Macaca fascicularis: one gene and its partner. The protein of the gene in region 2 purifies or fractionates together with the protein of the main gene of each other region. This does not show direct contact. Links are inferred from orthologs where the notes say so. Each region holds a gene or a part of one and is shown on either strand. Other genes may lie near its edges.

Region 1 (10,518 bases), on a different chromosome or scaffold from region 2:
TGAGTTCCAGTGGCTGGACACAAGTCTGGCCCACCTGCCCCCTCCCCAGCCCCGCAAAGCAGGTAGCATCCAAGCCGCCACCCTCCCAGAGGGGAAGAGTCCAGGCCACCCAAACCCTAGGGGTCCAAGTTGTGGTGACTACAACGTGGGTCAAATTTTTTCCAGAGAGGTAAGGCAGGGAGCTCCGACACTGATGGGGAGAGAAAGGGTAACCCCAAAGAGAACACCCTAGAGGAAGTTGTACCAGCACCCGGCCTACCTGACTTCCTGTTGACCTGGTTCTGGGGGATGATTATTTGGCAGGAGTTGGCATCGTTGGTGTTCTTGATGGGGTGGCTAAGGATACAGATAATGCGGATAACCTGGCCAGCCTTCCGCACACGGTCCGGGATGTAGCTGGGGTCACAGATCAGCTGCTTGCAGCGGGCCACCTGAGAAGGCACCAGAAATCCTCGCCCGTCAGATCACTCCCTTAGGTAGTCTTGGGGCTGTGTTCACAGCAAAGGCAGGCAGCTCTGGCAGACAAGGCACTCCTCGGAGCCATCACTACTGCCCCTCCTGAATGCATGGCCCTGCCCTGCAGCTCACAGAGGTGGGCCCTGACCCATAGGCTGGGTGCCCGCCCCCACCTCCCAGATGCCCCGTGATCAAGTACACTTTCTGCACTACAGACATGGCGTGTGGCCTCTGAAATAGCCCCTCACCCACATTCATGGCTCTGAAGACTTCTGAACGCCCAGTTCCCAGCTCCAGGACCCTCGGGGCTGTGCAGCAGGAGACCCGGCAGCACGGTGAAAAGAAGGTGACCAAGCCCTGCCTCAACCATGGTGACTGCACTGCACCAGAAAGGCTCACCTCTCCCTCAGATTTCACGCCCACCACCTTGCCATTCTCCATGATGATGTCATCCACAGGTTTGTTCAGCATATACGTCCCCCCATAGATGGCACTCAATCTGTGGTGAGAACAGCCCTGGTGAAGGCCCCTCCCAGGAGAAACGGGGACCAATTCCACTGTCACCCTTCCTCCACCAAGGTGCAAAAAAGGCTGCCCCAGGCAGGCAGCAGGCAGGAGACGCCGGGATTCATCCCAGCTGTGTCACTGCCGTGAACTCTGGCCCCATCTCAGCGGGCTCTTTCCTCTCAGGAGCTTCTTCTGCCCAGAATACACTGCCAAGGACCAGCAGAAGGGGGCATGAGGGAGCAGTGCTCTGCACCAAGACAGCCTGAAGGACCAGGATGGACTCTCTCAAGATAGGTCACCTCCCAGCGAAGCCCTGACTCAAGGTTCTGGGGCCCTGGGCCCAGTCCTGGTGCTGCCGGGAACTGAGCAAGTCACATTTGTGGAAACTTGGTTCTTCAAGTGTGGAGACTTCTTTTTTTTTTTTTTTTTTTTTTGAGACGGAGTCTCGCTCTGTCGCCCAGGCTGGAGTGCAGTGGCGCGATCTCGGCTCACTGCAAGCTCCGCCTCCCGGGTTCACGCCATTCTCCTGCCTCAGCCTCCCGAGTAGCTGGGACTACAGGCACCCACAACCGCGCCCGGCTAATTTTTTGTATTTTTAGTAGAGACGGGGTTTCACCGTGGTCTCGATCTCCTGACCTTGTGATCCGCCCGCCTCGGCCTCCCAAAGTGCTGGGATTACAGGCGTGAGCCACCGCGCCCGGCAAGTGTGGAGACTTCTGTACTTCAGTGCACTGGGGTTGTGCCCTCATCACCCAAGGATGGAGTGAAGTAAATGAAAATCACGAATTGGAAAGGAGGAAATGCTACCAGGGAAATGCTCAAGGGGGCCATCTCCACTCCTGGCCCTAGTCCTACTCAGCCATGCCAACTGAAAAAACCCACGTCCTCACCTTGCAAAACCCTGGGGCAGCTCGCCCAGGCCGTAGAGCGGGTATAAATATGGGCTCTTGCCATACCGGGCCAGGGACTCACTGTACAACTTGATGCGGTTGATGGTCTCAAGACAGGGCTGGTCCAGGTAGCTGGGGGACAGGGGTTAGGGAAGATGCTCCAGTAGCAGCACCCCTGACTTACCCCCACCCAGGTACCAGGTACCAGGCCAGTCTTCCCACCACCCTGAATGGCCTGGGGAAGATGAGGATCAAATGCAAGGGGGAAATGGAAAGGGTGACAGGTGAGCCTATGGCTGAGTACAAGGAACATGCAGGGCAGGGGGACAACAGGCAGGTGTGGGGAGGGCAGGAGGTGGGCCGGGCGAGGGGGCTGCCGCCACACCAGCTTCCCCTCACTCATCAGTGCGGTAGAGTGCCAGGGCGTGGCCAGTGAAATCGATGACATCCTGGCCCAGATCAAACTTCCGGTAGACATCACGCATGCTGGTAGTCTGGGGGTCAACACCCTCAAAGGTCTTGGGGTCATTCTCATCGAAGTTTGCCACAAACACCAGGAACTTGCGGAAGCGCCGTTTCTCAAACATACCCATCAGATCTAAGGAAGGTGGCGGGAGGAGGTTCTGCACCAACGCAGCACAAAACTCTCCATCTCAGCAGGGCAGGCACCCCCACTCCCAGCCCAGCTGTCCTGTGACCTTAGGTTAACCTCTCCACCCTTTTTAGCCTCAGTTTCCCCACCAGGATGAAGAGGGGATTGGCCTGGATGGACTCTAAGGGCTTTCCTGGCTTGGACACTTGGGGATGTCTTGAGGATCCAGTGGAGCCCCTGCCAAAGGCTCAAGTTTTCTTTGTTGTTGTTGTTTTTTGAGATGGAGTCTTGCTCTATCGCCCAGGCTGGAGTGCAGTGGTATGATCTCGGCTCACCACAACCTCCACCTCCCGGGTTCAAACCATTCTCTTGCCTCAGCCTCCCGAGTAGCTGGGATTACAGGTGTGTGCCACCACACTCAGCTAATTTTTTGTATTTTGAGACAAGACGGGGTTTCACCATGTTGGCCAGGCTGGTCTTGAACTCCTAACCTCGTGATCCACCCGCCTAGGCCTCTCAAAGTGCTGGGATTACAGGCATGAGCCACCGTGCCTGGCCACGCTCAAGTCTTTCAAAAGGAGTCCCGTTCCCCTCCACGTCACATCCCTGCTGCGTGGGGACCTCCCTCTTGGCAGCCAGCCATGCGGCATGACATGGGGCAGAGGGAATACAGAGTGAAGGGCCTCTGGTCCTTCATGGGGGAATGTGACTTTGGACAAAGGGGTGCCTTACTCTGGACAGCCACCCATCCCAAAGACAGTTGGCTTCCCTGCCACCCCATGATTTCTCTGGCTCAGGGGGCCCACACTCACTGGAAGCCAAGGCCTCAGTCTCAGTGGACGGCACTTTGTAGATCTTGCCCCCCTTGTAGACAAAGCTGCCCTCCACCACCTTGAAGTCCAGGTAGCGAGTCACTTCTGTATACAGTAGCATCTTTACCAGCTGCCCTGTGGGGGTGCACAAGGGCAACATCAGCACGGCTCTCTCCAGAGGTTCTAGCTGGTCTGGCTGTGCCTCCTTTGGAGCCTGACTGTCCTTAGGTCTTCCCTATCACCCCCGACCTGCAATACCTCCTTCCTGTCCCTCACCGTTAGCCATGAGGAATTTGGGAATCAGGTCAACGTTCCAGTCTCGGCCTCGGCCCATGGACTCAGGGGGCCCCTCCAGCAACTGAAAACGCTTATACAGCTGTAAGCAGAAGGGAGAGAGAGACACCTCAGGGACCACCTCCTCCTGCTCCAGGCACCTGGAGAGCTACTTCCACCCTGTGCCGCTGTGTGGGAGGTTAACAGGGATGGGCCTGGGCCCAGGCAGCCTCACCTCCTCCAGGGGTGTGATGGAGGAGCTCTCGCCCCCGTAGTAGGGGTTCCGGTCCATGTGCAGCACCTTCTTCCCGTTCACAGACATGATGCCCGACAAGATGCATTCCTGGGGGAGGGCCACACAATCCGCTGCACTCCCACCTTCCTCTGCTCCTACCAGCAGCCCTGATTTGTTCCCCACCCAAACCTGCCTCAGTGGACAGCTCCTTCCATCCACCACCCCCACCGGCTAGTTGCCTCGCCTAAAATTGGGGTGATGGTTTCATCCGACCACACTCTCCATTGCAACCTTGCGGGGTAAAGGAGACCGTCCCCCTCACAAGGCAGACAGTGAAATAACGGAGGCTTTGAGGTAGGCAGGGCATCCAGCAGACACAGGATGGCCTTCCAGTACCAACACGCCGAGAGGCATCTACCTACGCAGAGCCGCACAAAAAGGCGGATAAAACACAATGTGGCACAGAGGGGACCCAGCTGGACTGCGAAAGACACTCCAAAGGGAAGCAAAGAAAGGCTTAGCACAGTCCTTGAAATTGTAGGCCCCACCCTGGACTGCTCTTTCTTCAAAGAGCAGGAGCCCCTGCCGCTGAGGAGGGGCATCTGGGTCTGGACCGAGGGAGAAGAGTCTCTGAGGGGAGTGGGCCAACGGGATTTTCGGGGAAAGGGGGAAGATAAACACCCTCACCAGTCACTGTCACTAGCCCAAGGACAAAGGCTGCAGATGCTACTCAGCCTGAGGTCTCCATGGGCAACCGAGGTGGGGTTGCGGGAATGTGCTTACTGCCCCCACTGCTGCTCCTTCTGGAACATTCCCTGGATCCCCTGGCCCCAGAAGACGACGAGGGGGTGGGCTGAGAGCCCACCCTGGCGAGGCCCCCTGACCCCAGGTCCTTGTACTTCATCCTCACAGGGATTAGCGCAAGATGGGAAGGGACGCTGGGAGGCAACGCTAGGCGGGCGATGGGTGCGGGCGACGGGTGGATGCCGTGATGGGTGGGGGCGATGGGTGGGCGGGGTGGGGGCGATGGGTGGGCGGGGTGGGGGCGATGGGTGGGCGGGGTCGGGGGCAACGGGCCGAGTGGGGGTGCGTTTTCCGGTCCAGAGGGCAGGGGTAGGGAAGATGGGAGAGCGCCGGGGGTCGGACCCGGGTAGGCCAGGGGGCGGCCAGGAAGGGGGCCCCTTCGGGGAGATGGGGTCATGGCAACGAACAGAGGCGACATCGCGGGGGGAGCAGCGGGGTGGGCACGGCGCCGGCTTTTCGGGGAGCCGAGCGCAGAAGATGGCAGTGACCGGAGGATGGGCCGGCGGCCGCATCATCGCGGGGAATGGCGAGGGCACGACGCAGGGCCAAGGGCGCCCGGGGCCGCACTTACGGTGAGGCCGGTCCCCAGCACGATTACATCGTATTCCTCGTCCATGGTCAGGCCTCAGTGGCAGCGCCCGCTCGGCTCCTCCTCCTCCTTCACCACAGCAGTAGCCACCGCCGCCGCCGCCACCGCACTGGACCAAAGATGGCGGAGCGTCGGCCGCCGCCCGACCCCTCCGCCGCGTCAAAGAGTCCCGCCTCTTCCCGCGCCCCGCCGCACCCGGCAGGGGACACCGCCTTCCCGGCTCGCCTCCCGGGAGGGCTGCCAGGGCCCGGGCCACAGCACCAGCGCGGCTCCGCGGGCGACGTTGCTCGCCGAGAGTCCAGAGAGGCTCGGGGCGGGGCGGGCGGGGCGGGCGGGGCGGGCCGGCGGCCGGTGCTGCGGCCCGGGAAGGATCCATGCGCGGGAGCCGGGCGCGCCCCGCCCCGCCCCGCCCCGCGCGCGCCCGCCCCGCCCCCCGGGAGTCTCGGCGCGGCCCCGCGACCGGACGCGCGCCGCTGCGGCAGCCGGGGGCGGCTCCCTCACGACGCGAAGGCTGCCATTGTCACTACGGCCTCCTGAGACGCCGAAGCGCACCGGGACTCGGCCCGACCACCCCTCCCTGACCTAAGCGGTTAGGGCCCAGCTTACTAAAGCCCCTCCCGGTCTCCGGGGATGCCTCCTAGCCTCCCCCTCTCCAGGCTCCATCCTCCCGCATACCTCTGGCGAGCACGCGCCAAAAGCTCAGCGCAGAAATGAGCGACAAGAGGCCCAACGCATGGCGATCCTCGTTTACTTTATTAGGAAGGAAACAACCGAGCACCCCCTGCTCCTGCCAGGCACTTCCGGTGGGAACATGCCAGACAGCCGACGATCGCACCCAGCCCACCTGTGGAGGTGCCTTCCTTCTCAGGCCACAGAAATAAACCCCAGTGTACTGCTTATTGTTAGCACAACATCACCAGAAAACGATAACGACAGCCAAGCAGGACAGTTAAGTAGAACTTCCACACCCCAAACTCAGGGAGCCCTATAACCTTAAGGAGGGAGCATTTGCTACACAAAAACACTATCCACAGCCAGGGATGATGTAGACACAAGAATAAATAAGGAGAAAGGGGACCCTAGAATTCATGTCCCTTACGCCTCACAGCGACTAAGCCTGGAAAGCTGGTTGGTCTAGCATCTACGCAGAATATGTACACCTTGTTGGGAGAGATGGGGGCAGCCCAGGAAAGCTCCTCAGCAGGCTGAAGAGGGAGCAAGATGGGCTGAGGGGAGCTTGGGGTTCATGCTGCGGTAGGAAGAGGGAAGCTCCAGTCCAGTGTGCTGCAGGGTGGGAAAGCAACAACACGGACACTGTCCCACCCTCAATCCCCCACTGGCACAGGGTCAGACGATCTGGGTCAAAGAAATGGTGGGGCCCTTGTGATCATCAAAGCGATCCATGGTCTTGAGACTGAGGATCATGTGCAGGCCGTAGGTGAAGATGAAGAGCATGAACAGGGAGGTCAGCAGCCCCATCCAGATGCCGGGGGAGAAGAAGCTGGCACAGTCACTGGCATAGGAGAACTGCTCCCCCATCACGTTGAAAGCCTGGATCTGGCAGACACACAGACACGGGTCAGAAAGGACCGTTGGGAGGCCCAGCAAGGACTGGGACAAGGGCAGCGCAGGGACAGGACTCCCAAGCCCAAGCCTCTCTTCGTTTCTCAAACACCAGCCTGGGCTCCCCCACCTGAAGCTGGGCCACCCCTGCGCCATACCTGGAAGTCCTGAAGCATCATCTGCCAGGGGGAGGGCTGCGTGCGGGCCACGAGGAGACTGCCCTTCTTGCTCAGGCTGCTGACATACTCGCAGTGGAAGGAGTAGATGCTGGGCCCTGTGACCTGGGAAGCATTGAAGTAGGCAACGGAGCCATTGCTGTGGACTTCGAGGCGCTCCATGGTAAACCAGTGCCGGGCGGACACTGGGTAGAGGCGGTTGGCCAGAATGAACCTGGGGAAGGTGGCAGGGATGTCAGGTGAGCTGGGGAGGCTGGGGCCACACCAGCCTCCCCACACCTCAACCACCCCAGGACTCACTTGAATGTCACTGTGGTACCAAAGAGTCGTTCATAGGTCAGTGAGAGCCTGTGGAGGCAGAGAAAGAGGTGCACCATGAGGCTCTGGGAGGGCCTTTGGCATCTTAGAGGAACAAGTTCCTCAGCTCTGCTCTTACCTAAGCTGCCTTGGGTCCTTGCAGCCACCTGAAGAAGCAGTGACCCCACTTGACAGATAGGAAAACTGAGGATCCAGTCGCATTGCAAGCCCAGAACAGAGCTGGAAGCCAGGACCCAGGTTCCCCTTGCCACCAGCATGGGGGTCCTTCCTCTGGTTCCCCTGAGCTCACTACCTCTCCTTTTACTCCCTCTTAGGGTCACTAAGGTGCCTGGGCTGGGCTTTGGGGGTGAGAGCAAACAGAAGGGCATGGTTGCCCCATAAATGCCTCAGGTAGCTGGCCTGGCATTTGCCCACACAAAGTCCCAGAAGTTTTGCTCAAGGGGGAGGTGTTAACAACCAAGGTCCCAACCAAAGACTCACAAGCATGGGGAGGCAGAAGTCTGAGCAACTCCCCTCCAACAGCACCCCCCGCCATGACACCTCCTACATCCTCACACTGCCCAGACCCCAACCAGACCATGGCCATCCCCACCCCAACACACAGACCTGACCCTGGCTCCCTGCCCCACCTGCAACTCACAGTGGTGGGAAGGTCACCTGTGGTGGCACAGTCCTCCCCAGCCTAGTGCCCTTGCCTGGCAAAGGAGTCATTCCAGAAGGAGCCAGTCAGGTTGAGCTCCTGCACCCCAAAGGTGAGGGGAGTCAGGTCCTCCCACTGGTCCTTGTACGCCACAGAGAAGTTTTGGGCCCAGAACAGGATCCGGGGAGCAGTGTCATTGTAACTCACAGGAGGATGGATCACAGGTGATATTGGCTGTTTTTGTAACAGCTGGCGACCTAGCCCTTCAGCCACCACCGCTACATCACGGGCCACCTGCAGAAACACCCAACCAGCCTTCTTTCAGCAGCCCTGGGAGACTGTCATACTCCAACCCAGCTGTCGTGCCCTCCCTCCTCTCCCGACAGGACACCCTGTCCACTATCTCAAAGTCCCACCAGCCAGAGGAGGCCTTTCCTCCAGAAAGCTTTCCCTGATGGCCCCTAAACCCTGATGACATTCCTAGTCCCTCAAACTTAGGGTCATTTAGACTTAGTGTCCAAGTCTGCCACCCACAAGCCTCAAAGGACGAGATGGAAAGCTGCCCCTGGAATGGGGAGGCAGCACTTGAGTGCTCATCCTAGTCCTCCCCCAGAGTCAGCCCAGGGACAAGCCACTCCAAATAGTCACACCACAGGGGTTCTGTGCCTGATGCTTCCGCTATGCTGGGCCTCCCGGACAGCCTGCCTGTGGCATACACCCCCCACCTCCAGACAGACTCACCACACTGCCTCTCCCTGCATGCCCCAGAGCCCCTGCTGGAAGGGCACATACCCTGGAAGGGCGGACCGCTGTGAGGGCCGCTGTGTACGGGACATCTTCAGACTTGAGTGTGCTCAGGACCTGCCCAATGACCTCATCTGAGGGTCAAAAAGGAGAGCAGAGAGTCAAGTCACCAGGCACCCTGTGTAAAGAAACACTCCCCACCGTCTGCTTTAGAAACCTTCTAGACCATCTGAAAGTGGTGTTATTACTTTCCACTGAGGATCCTTAGGAGCAGCTATTTCTCATCCCACCCCCATTCCTAGCCTCCCCCCTGGACAACTGTGGCTTTGGTCATCAACTTCCTAATGCCAAGCCCTACCTATGTGACACGAGAAAATACATATCAATACAGAAAACTCCACATCCACCCATGAAAGGTTTGTGACTGCCTTTCCATGGGCAATGACTGTTCTTTATTGCAAATAGGTAAGTCCCCAGAATTGTTTTTCCAAATGTCTGCAGTCTTATTAAACCCATAACTCTAGGATTCACGCTGCATGCACAGAAACTGGCTCCATAGCCTCCAGCACAGAGGGCCCCCCCTCTGCCAAGTGGGGTCTGGCTGGACAGGGTCCTCTGCTAAGTGGTCTCTGGCTAGTCCTGGGAGCCAGCATTTCCCTGCTCCACTGTCAGCTGCCCCGAGAAGCAGGAGGGCCACCCTGGGAGTGAGGAGGCTGAGGAGCTGCAGGCCAACTGTCTGTGGTCCCCGCCCAAGGGCTAGGTGAGGATGTGCATCCTCCCTGATTCTACTCACCATTGCCTGTGAGGACTTCCCTGGGTGCCATCAGACCAGAGCTATGGAAGACAAACAGAGCACCAGAGTCCTCAGGCGGCCTGGACCTGTGCTGCCTACTACCCTTCCCCAGCCCCAGCTTCTCCTCCCCACTAGCCCCACACACCAAGCCTGCACACTCTTACCTCAGTGCCCACTCCTGGAAGCCCATCTCACCCCGAGGCTTCTCAGTCACACTCAAGTCCTAGCCACCTGCTCTGTGACAAGGGCCTGGCTAGGTGAGAAAGCTCCCCACCCACAGGGCTCACATCTGCCTCATCTCTGGAGCTAGGCACCAACTCCTGAATCACAGAAGAGGCCCTCCCCACCTCTTCTGGCCACACACGGCACCTTCTAGAAGGGCTGTGAGGGGGTGGGGAGTACTGGCATATTTGGTCGAACGGTGCCACCACATGCCATAGCCCAGGGCCTTGCTGCTCTCTGGACCCCGAGGCTGGTGGCTGGGCCATGTGGGCAGTACCTGGCCGTGTAGGGCAGGTGAATGAGCAGCAGGGCGGGGAGGCTGGCGTTGAGCTTCAGCTCCCGCAGGGTGGCCAAGTCCACATGCAAGGGGCTGGCCCTGAGCTTCTCCTGCAGGTAAGTGGTCAGAGTGCTGACTGCATACCAGTCAACGGCAGGAAGCACCAGGGAGGAGGGGGCCAGGTCCAGGGCATTCTGGTGACAGGGGAGAGGCAAAAGGTGAGTTAGCCAGGGGCCAGTGGGCCTGGGCCAGCCCCCCAAACCTCTCTGGCAGGTTTCCTCTGGCAAGCCATACCCACAAAGGCTCACCAAGAAAATGGCCCACACCCCAGGCCCTGACATTCAGGCCCCAGGCCTTTCTACCCCAAAGCCAGTGTCTCTGCTAAGAGTATGAGGTGGTTTTGTTGTTGTTGTTGTTGTTGTTTGCGGCGGGGGGGGAGGGAGGAGGCATCCCAGAGGAGACTCAGACCCAAGTAACCCTGATATGAGGTAAGAGTACAGTTCTTATGCTGGGAGAAGCACAGAATGTCCCCCATGGCCCCTGGCTGGGAGAGGACTCTTACCTCTAGATTAGAAAAGGCGCTGTCCTGCTTGTTTCCAAACACACCACCATATGCTGTGAAATCCT
Region 2 (9,924 bases):
TGAACCATGTTGAGATCATATCCCCAGTAACAGAGCCTTCCTTGCAGTGGAGACTCTGCCTGTGTTCATGAAACCCACACCCATGCTCACTGTAAAGAGGGGCAGTCGCTGTTCTCACTCCCCACCACACAGCATCACTCTGTGCACACCCCTTTGGTATCTTCCTGCTATTCTGGAAGAAGTAGATGGTTAGAGCCAGATGGGGCTCCAAACCATGGGGTTCAGCTGCATCCTGTCTAGAGGAGGCCCTGTGCCATTTGCGGCAGACCAGGGAAGGCCGGGCAGGGACTGGGCGAGTGTCTGTCCACTGCAAGTGAATAAATGGCTCCTATACATCTTTTCACTTACTTGTCAAAGGAAAAGGATACTTCCTTCTTTGCTTTTCTCCTGGACATTCTCCATTCCAGGTAGAGCCGACGCCACACGTCGAAAAAGCTGGAAAGATGAAGAAATGCAGCGTGAACCCCAACCCTGGCCCTCCCCTCTGCTCCTCACTGCGCCTGTACCCTCTCCCCTCTTCCCCTCCCAACCTGCAGCTTTACTCTCCCATCTGCCCAGCGGACGGTGCCCTCAAAGGCAGGGGCTGTGCCTACATTCTCTCTCCCCCACCTGCAGTGCCTCTCACAGCATCAGGTCTGGGCAGGCCTCAGTAGCTCATGGAAGGAACAAAGCTGTGGACTCTTGCCCAAGCAGACTGGCCACAAGGTCACTGGGGTAAGCTTAGGTCATGGCAGTGACTGCAAAGGACCTGCTCTGGTGCAGAAAATGGTTTGGGCCTCCAGGTACAGGCCTTAAGGTGGATTTGTGCACACAGCCCTCATGGGGACCAGGCGTGGGGAACTGATACGACCTTGAGATGAATGACTCTGCTCAGGGAGCCCTGCAGGTCCGGTGCCAAGGCAGCGAACAGCAGGGCCCGGGCCACATGGCACAGCAGTGAGGCTTCTCTGAGAGCGCGAGGGATGCAGGAGTGTGAACACAATCTTTTGGGCTTGTTTGGATGTGGAGTGTGAGTTGTTGATTGTGGGAGTGTGTGTACAGTGTATGTGTTTTATCTGTAGGACTGCGTGGAGAATGTGTGTGTTGTGAGTGATAGGTGTGGGTAGGTGCATGTGTGTCTGTGTAAACATACGGGAGAACGTGTGGTGTGTGTGAATGTGTGGTATCTTTGTGTGCGTGTTTGTGTAAATGTGGGGGGAATGTGTCTATAGTGTCTCCTTGGTAAGGTGCGTGTCTGCGTGCATGTGGGTTTTCTGTGTGTGTGTGCACGCGCGCGCGTGTTGGGGCAGGCATGGGTGGCAGGGGACAGGTGGCAAGTGGCAGATAGGGTGCGGGCAGAGATGGAATCTTGGAGGTGACAAGTACAAGGCAGAAGTATGAGGCACAGAAGACTCTGAACGGCTATGCTCCAAATGCTGGTCCCCTGCAAATTCCTATGTTGAAACAGAATCTCCAATGTGACAGTATAAAGAGGTGGGACTTTAGGAGGTGCTTAGTCAGGAGGGTAGAGCCCTCATGAACGGGATGAGCGCCCTTAGGAATGAGGCCCGAGGGAGCCTGTCTGCCCCTTCCACATTGTGAGGATGCAGCAGGAAGGTGCCATCTAGGAGAAAATGGGCCCTCACCAGACTGAATCTGCCTGCACCTTGACTGTGGAGTTCCCAGCCTCCAGAGCTGTGAGCAATACATTTCTGTTGTTTATACGCTACCCAACCTATAATGATTTGTTACAGTAGCCTGACAGGACTAACCCAGGAGCACTCCCTGCTCTCCTCACAAATACGAATTACAGGAGCTGGGTGGGCTCTGGGCTCATGCCCTCCACTGCATGAGCTCTCTGAAGACAGGGTGAGTCTTATTCATGGCCTCACCCCAGAGCCCAGCCCCAGCTGAGCACCCGGGCTGAGTGACAGGGCTAAAGGCCGTGAGGGCCCAAGGCGGGAAGCTCCTGGTGGGCCCAGCACGGTGTGAGAGCCTTGTGGGCGGGCTGCAGAGGAGGCTCTGCGGTAGGGTAGCTATTAGTAGGCAAGGGTACAAAGGACCTGGGCCATCCTTCCTGAGCTTTCCTTCATGGCATTGGCCCTGGGCGGCTCCTATCTGCCTGTCTGGCTCTCAAAACGGTCACAGCCCTGACTAGTGGCCCAAATGCCACTAGGGATTTTGAAGGGTGCTCTAGGGTCAGGTACGGGTTTCTGTGAGTGGAAATGCTCACATTTAGATCCAGGAGTCTGCACTGCATGGAGACTCCCCTGAGCCACGTAGGGTCCGAAACGGACCACATTTAACTCCTGCTAAACCACTGCGTGGGTTCCAGAGCACTCTGGGGGTGGGGGCATCAGTGCCTCCCTGACCCTGACTGCTGAGGCAGATGCTACCTGCCCTATGGACCTGCTGGTGCTGCCCTCCCTCTGCTTCCCTGCTTCCCATTACTTTAGCGCTCCCAAAGAGCAGCAGCCCAGTCTCTCCTCCATGGTCCCCGGGAGCAGGAAGGACCATGGCAGCTTCAGCCCCACACCAAGGGAGGCTGGGAACAGATGGGAGTGAGTGGAGCCCTGCTGAGGGCACTCCAGTTAGGGTGGGGTGCTGAGTCCTGGAGCTTTGGGGCCCCCAGTGTCACACAGTGTCCCTTCCACTCTGTCTCTTCTTGTCGCTCTGCCAGCCCACCCTCCCCATTGCCACCAGCACTGTTCGCACAGGGCAAACCATCACTGCATCCAAAAGGCCAGTGCTGCATACACAGCTTGCCGAGGGTTCCCAGCAATGCAGGGGGCAGGGCAGAAGCGAACGCCAGGCCAACCACACTCCTCATCCAGAGTCCCCTCCCCACACCTCGGGCACCCTGCAGCCACACCTGTGCTGCTCCCCTGCTTGGCATGCCCTCCCTCCTCACCACCTCTCCAAGTCCTATTCGCATCCCCAGTGGCAGGAGTTCTCAACCTTTCCGTGAGCCAAGGACCACTCTGGCAGTCTGGTGAAGCCCATGGACTCCTTTGAAGTATGTGAAATCAATGACATAGGATGATAAAGGGAACTACTGAGTACTGGAATACACCTCATCGACATTCGTGCTTCCTTATGAACACATTGAACAGTGAGAACTAGTAAGAGATCCAATAACTACTGTGACACTGAAACACTGATGCATGTAAAGTTCAAGGTATCTGCAACACTGTGAGGGGATGGGAAGGCATCTGTGATTTCTACTGGTGGTAAAGCCATAGGCACCACTAATACGACTGAGCGTCATTGCCTACATTAATCATTGAAGGACAAACAGACATCCTTCAGTGCTATGGACGGGTTAGTGGTTAGTGAAGATAAAAGGTGCAATGTTTTCCAGCCCTGTCTGCTGACCTGCTAAATTCCATCCATGGACCACTCAGGGGCCCTCATGCTGCAAGGCTCGGCCCTAACTCCACTGCCTCACCCTCCTGTGAGTTCCAGCCACACCATGGTGGGCTCTTTTCTCCAGGCCTGAGTTGCCCTCCGCAGCCCTAAGCACTTGCTAAGTGCAAGGCATGAACCCCAAATGCTGATCGGATTGAATTTTCCTGCATGCGTCATCCAAAGTGGGGTGAGGGGCTAGGGAACCACTGCTTCCCTCAGCCACCTGGAAGCTGGTGGCTGGACACTCTTAGGGACTGCTACATGGGCTGTGATTGGCCACTGCTATGGTGGCTGGTGACTTACATTCTCCAGTCGCCATGCCCGGAGTGCTCCCTCCCTCTCTTGGGCTTTACCAGCTCCAGAAATTAGCTCTCCCTGCCCTGGGCGCATCTATGGGTGTTCTGGTTGGCTGCCCCAACCCCGCCACCAGCCCCTCAGGGCAAGGCAGGTCTGAGCCTGAGGCTGACCACAGGACCACACCGTGCCAGGCCCGGTGCCAGGTGTGTCCTCACCTGCTTCACATTGTAGCCAGTCTTCGCGCTGGTCTCAATGAACATGACGCTCAGTTCTTTGGCGCGCTGCTCCCCCTCCTCGATGGTTATCTGCCTAGAGATGACGGGAAGGGGGGAAATCAGTTCAGCAGAGGAGCAGCCCCTGGCAGAGATGAGGAGGGACCCGCCCAGCATGGCAGAGGGAGCCCACTAGGCCCTTGGTCAGCCCTGAAGACAGGCTCTGATCCCAGGGGTCCCTCCTGGGCACCAACCATAGTCTCTAGCACAAAGCGAGCACCAGGGAACAGCAGGACACTATCCCCTTCCCCCACTCCTTCCTTCGTGTCTTCTCAGCTTCAAAGCAGGCCCTGGGGTAGGGATGCCCCACGCCTGCCTTTCCCAGTAGTAATTACTGCAGAGCTTGTGCTTGTGAAGAGATTCAAGCCACACAGTCCACTCTGGGTGGTGCTATTAGTCGCATTTTCCGTATGAGAACACTAATGCTAAAAGTGTCTCCCCCGGGGCCACAAAGCTGCTTAGCAGAGAGGGCTCCATGATGGGGCAGGCAGAAGTGGCTGAGGGTATGAAGGGCCTAGGTGCCCTTTGTACTGGGATTTGAGCCCAGTTTTCCTTACTTTAAGGACAGAACTCTAGTAAAGCAGGCTCTAATTCAGATGATTCCTCAGGTGCTCAAGGGACACTGCGGAAGCCTGCACTGCTTGCTGGAGTCCATGGCCTGTCACTTTATCTGCCCAAGTCAGGGTCACGTGAAACGAGTGGACAGCGTACACACATGGCACCTCAGTTCTCCCTGTGCATGGAGGGCAGCATGGAGGAGACTCTTCAGAGAAAGCTTCATGCCAGATGCAGCCACAAACCAGGCTAAGCAGGCTACAGCTATAGGTTTGTGGTCTGAATGCTCTGCATGCTCACACCTAGGGCCCAGGGTGTTCGCACCCCCATGCACACTGGTGCAGACACTTCACAGGCACAGACAGTTCGCAGTACACACACTGGGGCTTAGGGAACTGCTGTGTCTGGGGCAGTGCTGTGGCCATGGCAGGGTCTTAGACCATGCACTGCTGGGCCAAGCCAGGTGCACAGGGCTCTGTGTAGACAGCACACGGAGGAGTGCCCCGCCCCTGCCTGGTGGTGGAAGGCAGGGCTTCACAGATGAGACACCCAGGGGTGAGAGTCTACCAGGTGTTCTCAAAGCTCCTAGTGTCTCAAGGGACCTTTTCCGGATGCATGGTCAGAAGCACAGACACACCACCCACGCATCCCAGAGCTCCCCGTCCAGGAGCAGCTGGAGAGGAGTGGAGGGTGGTACCCTGCACCTGTGTGCCCTTTGCACCTACCTCTTATCAGCCAGGTCCGTCTTGTTGCCCACCAGCATGATGATAACATCACTGCCCCTCTCTGTCCTGACGTCGTCGATCCACTTAGAGGTCTGTTGGAAGGAGTTGAGATCTGGAGGCAGAAAGTGAGGAAAAACTGAAAGCCAGGGCCAGCCACCAGCAGGAGATGGGAAGGGGATGTGTGAGCCAGGAGCAGGAGGGAGGGTGAGCATGTGCCCTCAGATACCCAGGGAGGGTACGAGCTCAGTCAACACAGATCAGCCGGGTAGGGCCTTTCAGAGGGAACCAGGCCCTGCCCTGCAGCCCTGGGAGCCGCCTGCACTGTTTAGCCGCCCTTTGTGGGAGAGGAATCACCCCATCTGGAAGATCATGGCGTCATGATTTGCTACATGAAATAGTGGCTTTAGGGGCCCGCCTGAGAGTCAGACCTGACTCTGGGGATTCAGAGTGGAGTGTGAGAACTGGGTCACACGTGTGTGCATATATACACACACACACACACACACACAACTTGGCAAGTTTGGAAACAGTGAGGGGTGGGCAGAGGAGGACACAGAAGCCTCTAGGGAAGGAAGGACCCTACTGAGTGGCCTCCCCACCAGGGGAGCTCAGGAGAGTTAGGGGAAGGCCAGAGGGATTTCTGAAGAGAACCCTCAGGCTCTGCAGGTGAGAGGAGGGGAAAGGTGGCCCCAGGACTAGTCAGGGGAGCCAGGTGCACTCAAAAATCCAGGAGAGACAAGGCCACTTCTTGGCAGCCTGACCTCCCTCAGCTGCCATGACAAGCCTTGCAGGGCAGAGCAGCTCTAAGGCAAAGCCCACCACTCCGCAGCCTGCACACCCAAGGGGAGGGGAGGCAGCTGTCCTCAGAAGCCTCAGTTTCACACAGCCTGGTATCCCTTCTGATGCGCCTCAGGCCATGTGAACTCAGGCCCTTATGGGCCCAGCTCCCACCTGCACTCAGGTGTGGATGGGGCCTGTGGTCAGAAGAGGGGTGGACAGAGGGGGCGGGCAGAGCCAGGGCAGCAGGATGGGTGGTAGGGGCATGCACCAGCGTGGGGTCACACATGCTTCCTTGTGTGATTTTAGGGCTGTGGACAGCACCTAGGGCATCCGCCCACTTCATGGTAACCACAGCCCTGAGGGCTTATCAGGTGTGTTCCATTACAGCAGCCTTGCAGGTCTGGCTTCTGCATCGGCCCCTGCCCCCACCTCTGGCCCTGTGCGCCCTCGAGGCTGTGCAGTCCTGTTAAGAACACCTGCTCTGGCCTGAAGAGCCACGGTGCTGGAGAAGGATTACCAGTCTACTGCGCTTCCAGACCCCCTTGGCCTACCTTCCCAGGGAGTCCTGCACCCACAGCTGCTGGGCCGGGGTTGACCTAGGGACCAGCGTCTTCTCCCATGGTGACACACATACAGAAGTAGCTCCTTAGGGAGCTTTCTGACAGCCAGGGAGAGGGAGGGTGCAGAGAGGCTGGAGCAGGGCCGACCTTGTGAGCATCTGCTCACACCACATGCTGGCCCCTGCTCTGAGCAGGGCCAACCTGGCCCTGTAAACCCCTGCCTGTTGCAGGAGGGTGGGGGGCAGTGGAAAACATGTTGGTGTTCAAAGGCAACTCACCACTGCTCCCTGCCTTTCTCCATTTAGGGAGCAATCGCACACACGTGTGCACACAGATGCATGTGCACAAACATGCATACACACACACGCATACACACAGGCCTGGCCACAGTCACACCTGGGCCCTGGAACCCCCAATGAGCCACCCTCCCTTAGGCGCAGACGCTCACTCACTTGTGATGTCGTACACCACCACAGCCACTGTGGAGTCCCGGATGTAGCTGGGGATCAGGCTGCGGAACCTCTCCTGACCAGCTGTGTCCCAGAGCTGCAGTCGCACCTGTCTCAGGGAGGGTAGGACCACAGGCAGACGGGTCAGTGGGGCAGTGAGGTCCTCCTGGTCCGGGGAACTGGGAGAGCCAGGCTCTGCAATGCTGGCAGCACCAGCTCCAGTCCCCAGTGTCGGCAGGGGCTCTCAGTGGTGACCAGCTAAAGATCCTAGGGGATAAGCCCAAAGGAACCCTCCCTGTCCCTCCCAGTCCTAATATTAGGTGCTCACCGTGCGGTCCTCCAAGTACATGGTTTTTGACAAGAAGTCAATCCCAATGGTTGCCTGTTAGAGAAAAGCACAGAACAGTCAAAACCAAAAGGTCTCATGCAAAGGGGCAAAAGCCTGGTGACCGCAGGTGGTGGCGTAACCAGCAAGAGGGGACGTCCATGTCAGGTCTAACATGGCCATCCTCTGTCCTCCCTGCCCCTCCACCCACTACTCAGCAGCCCTCTTACTGAGGGATCAAGCTGAGGAAAGATGGGGGTGGCCTTTATAGGGCGAGATCCTCTCTGGAGAGGGAAAGTGCTTCGGGAGCAGTGAGAGCACCGTGGTGAGGAGGCCGCCCCAGGAGCAAGGCCACTCAGGCCACTCAACACACATATCCTGCCCTCCCCACCTGGGCTCCCTGCCTTGTTCCCCTCACGGCCTAATCTGCAGCTTCCAAAGCCTCTTCCCGCTGCCCTAAAGCATGGCCCTGGGCTCAACACAGGCCTCGGGAGGGTGGGAGGAGGCAGCTTGCTGCTGTGTGGGGGCAAACAGCAGCATGGCTTTTCTCAGGTGCGGGCACTGCAGACCACCCAGAGTGGCCTCTCGCTGGGAGGCCCCACTGGCTCTTTTCTTCTCAAGCCAAAACGTTGGAAGCTGTCACCAGCTCCCCTGTGCCACACCTATGCCTCTTCTGCCCTGGCACCTGCGAGAGGCAGCCAGTCTTGTGGCCAGATGGCCAGGATTCTGTGTGTCCTTGGGCAGGCCACCAACCTCTCTGGGCCTCACATGCACCCAGTACCTGTCAGTAGGACTGAGATGCTGTCAATGTAAGATGGAGATATCATTGCTATGTAATCAATAATAACAAAGACTTTGACACAGCCCAAATGTCCAAGGCACTGAATAAGCATAGTGTGGTACATCCATGTGATTAGAATCCTTGGCAGCTGTTAACAATCACATTCTTGAAAACATATTTAAGGCTTTGGGGAAATGGTCATCCAGTTAAAAAAAAAACCAGGTTATAAAACATCATGTGGTGAGTGATCCCAATTAGATTAACTCAAGTAGATCTATGAGTATTATTCATGTTTTCTTCAACAATGAAGTGAAGGGAATCTGCTAAAACGTTAATAGCATCACAGTCTGAATAGTGGCAGTGCATTTTGTTTCCTTCATTACACTTTTCTCTACTTTCCACAATGAACATATAACAGTTCTAAAATTAGGAAAAGTCCTTTGAAATAAAGTTTAATAAATAAGTTTAATTGTGTGGAATGCTATGATTTTCGACTGCAAAAAACAAAACCAAAGGAAGCCCAAGAAAATAGAAAAGGTCATGTCTCCAGGCCCCCCAGGCTGAATGCAAAGGTGTGCACCAATGTGTGTGTACAAGTGTACATGTTCACATAGTCACACTCCTAAATCGTTCCACAAAGGACTGAGGGTGGCTGCATCCTCCTGGAAGCTTGCTTCATAACACAAAGATATGGAGAGTGATTCTATGTTCTGGAGCATATGATGCTAGAATGAGGGCACTAGACAAGCACCTTAGATAAAACCCAATCAATCCCTTACTTTGGCGATGAAAGAACAGACCAAGAGGGTTAAAGGACATGCCTAGTGTGACTTCACTCATCAGGAGCAGGGCTGGGAAGATCAGAGCTGCAACCTCGGCAGCACCTGGGCTCTTTCCAGCCCAGCTTCGCATATTGTAGCCACCGAGGGACAAATCTGCAATGACCAGTGCTTGTGGATGCAGACTTTTTCCTTCACAGGTAGGTATATGTTAGATTGACAATCCTTGTCTTCTGATTCCCTTATGGAGAAATGTGCATAGCAGGTAGAAGTCTCTGAACTCCTCAGTGCTCAACAGGTTCCCCAGGAGTGACATGCTCCTTTTGTAGAGTCACCCTTGAAAGAAAACCAGGTGCATGAGCTTAGGTCTGGTGGCAGGGACCGTTGGTTGTCCCCAGTATGTAGTCTCCCTTTCTATAGTAACAGAATTCTGGGTGTGCAGATGGACTCAGGGCTGCCCCAAATAAAGACCATATTTCCCAGCCTTCTTTGCAGCTGGGTGGCTACGTTCTGGTTAATGGGATGTGAAGGTGATGCAGGCATATTTGGGGACAGGTCCTCTGTGGGCAAGGAGTACCCACAGCTGCTCCCTTTCCCACTGTCCGGTGGGGATGAGTCATAGTGGCCCATCCAGATGAGGATGACAGAGGAGCGATGACATCAACAAAGCCTGACTCCCTGACCCTGAGGAGCTACTTCAGCAGCGCTGGACTGCTCAATTGTTCTATTTTGTTTAAGCCACTGTTATTTTGGGTTTCTGTTAACATAGCCTAACTATAGCCTAACTAACAAGCAAAGAACCACGGAGAAATGTATCCCTCAAAGGTAGGCACCCAATAGTAATGCTACTGATAACTGTAATGATGACAATCCCATCACACCTCACATGTCACAAGGCACTTCTGCTTCCATGAAGGGCAGAGAAGTCACCAAATGAAACAAGGAATTGTGCTACTTGGATGAAGTCCCAGCAAAGCTCAACCCAGTGGCCTCCATAATCATAAACACCATTAC

What was found.
Region 1: the proteins of RAB6B (region 2) and GDI1 purify together in Homo sapiens (co-immunoprecipitation; 3 studies listed by BioGRID and IntAct, counting the BioPlex papers as one, with this or other methods). This does not show direct contact. The link is inferred for Macaca fascicularis from reciprocal best matches to the Homo sapiens genes RAB6B and GDI1.

What each region holds. Positions count from the first base shown.
Region 1 is NC_088395.1:160,432,862-160,443,379, reverse strand, and holds the start of GDI1 (rab GDP dissociation inhibitor alpha), read right to left. Parts: upstream 5,281-10,518; 5' UTR 5,186-5,280; coding exon 5,141-5,185; intron 3,874-5,140; coding exon 3,766-3,873; intron 3,634-3,765; coding exon 3,534-3,633; intron 3,393-3,533; coding exon 3,258-3,392; intron 2,452-3,257; coding exon 2,253-2,451; intron 1,986-2,252; coding exon 1,854-1,985; intron 956-1,853; coding exon 856-955; intron 432-855; coding exon 260-431; intron 1-259. Other genes in the region: ATP6AP1 (V-type proton ATPase subunit S1), read right to left, coding at 6,506-6,715, 6,880-7,111, 7,198-7,245, 7,911-8,149, 8,648-8,733, 9,393-9,433, 9,892-10,085, 10,454-10,518. UniProt on the Homo sapiens protein: Regulates the GDP/GTP exchange reaction of most Rab proteins by inhibiting the dissociation of GDP from them, and the subsequent binding of GTP to them. Promotes the dissociation of GDP-bound Rab proteins from the membrane and inhibits their activation.
Region 2 is NC_088376.1:36,744,775-36,754,698, forward strand, and holds part of RAB6B (ras-related protein Rab-6B), read right to left. Parts: intron 7,408-9,924; coding exon 7,354-7,407; intron 7,135-7,353; coding exon 7,029-7,134; intron 5,349-7,028; coding exon 5,237-5,348; intron 3,994-5,236; coding exon 3,900-3,993; intron 436-3,899; coding exon 369-435; coding exon of another isoform or gene 352-368; exon of another isoform or gene 349-351; intron 1-348. UniProt on the Homo sapiens protein: The small GTPases Rab are key regulators of intracellular membrane trafficking, from the formation of transport vesicles to their fusion with membranes. Rabs cycle between active GTP-bound and inactive GDP-bound states.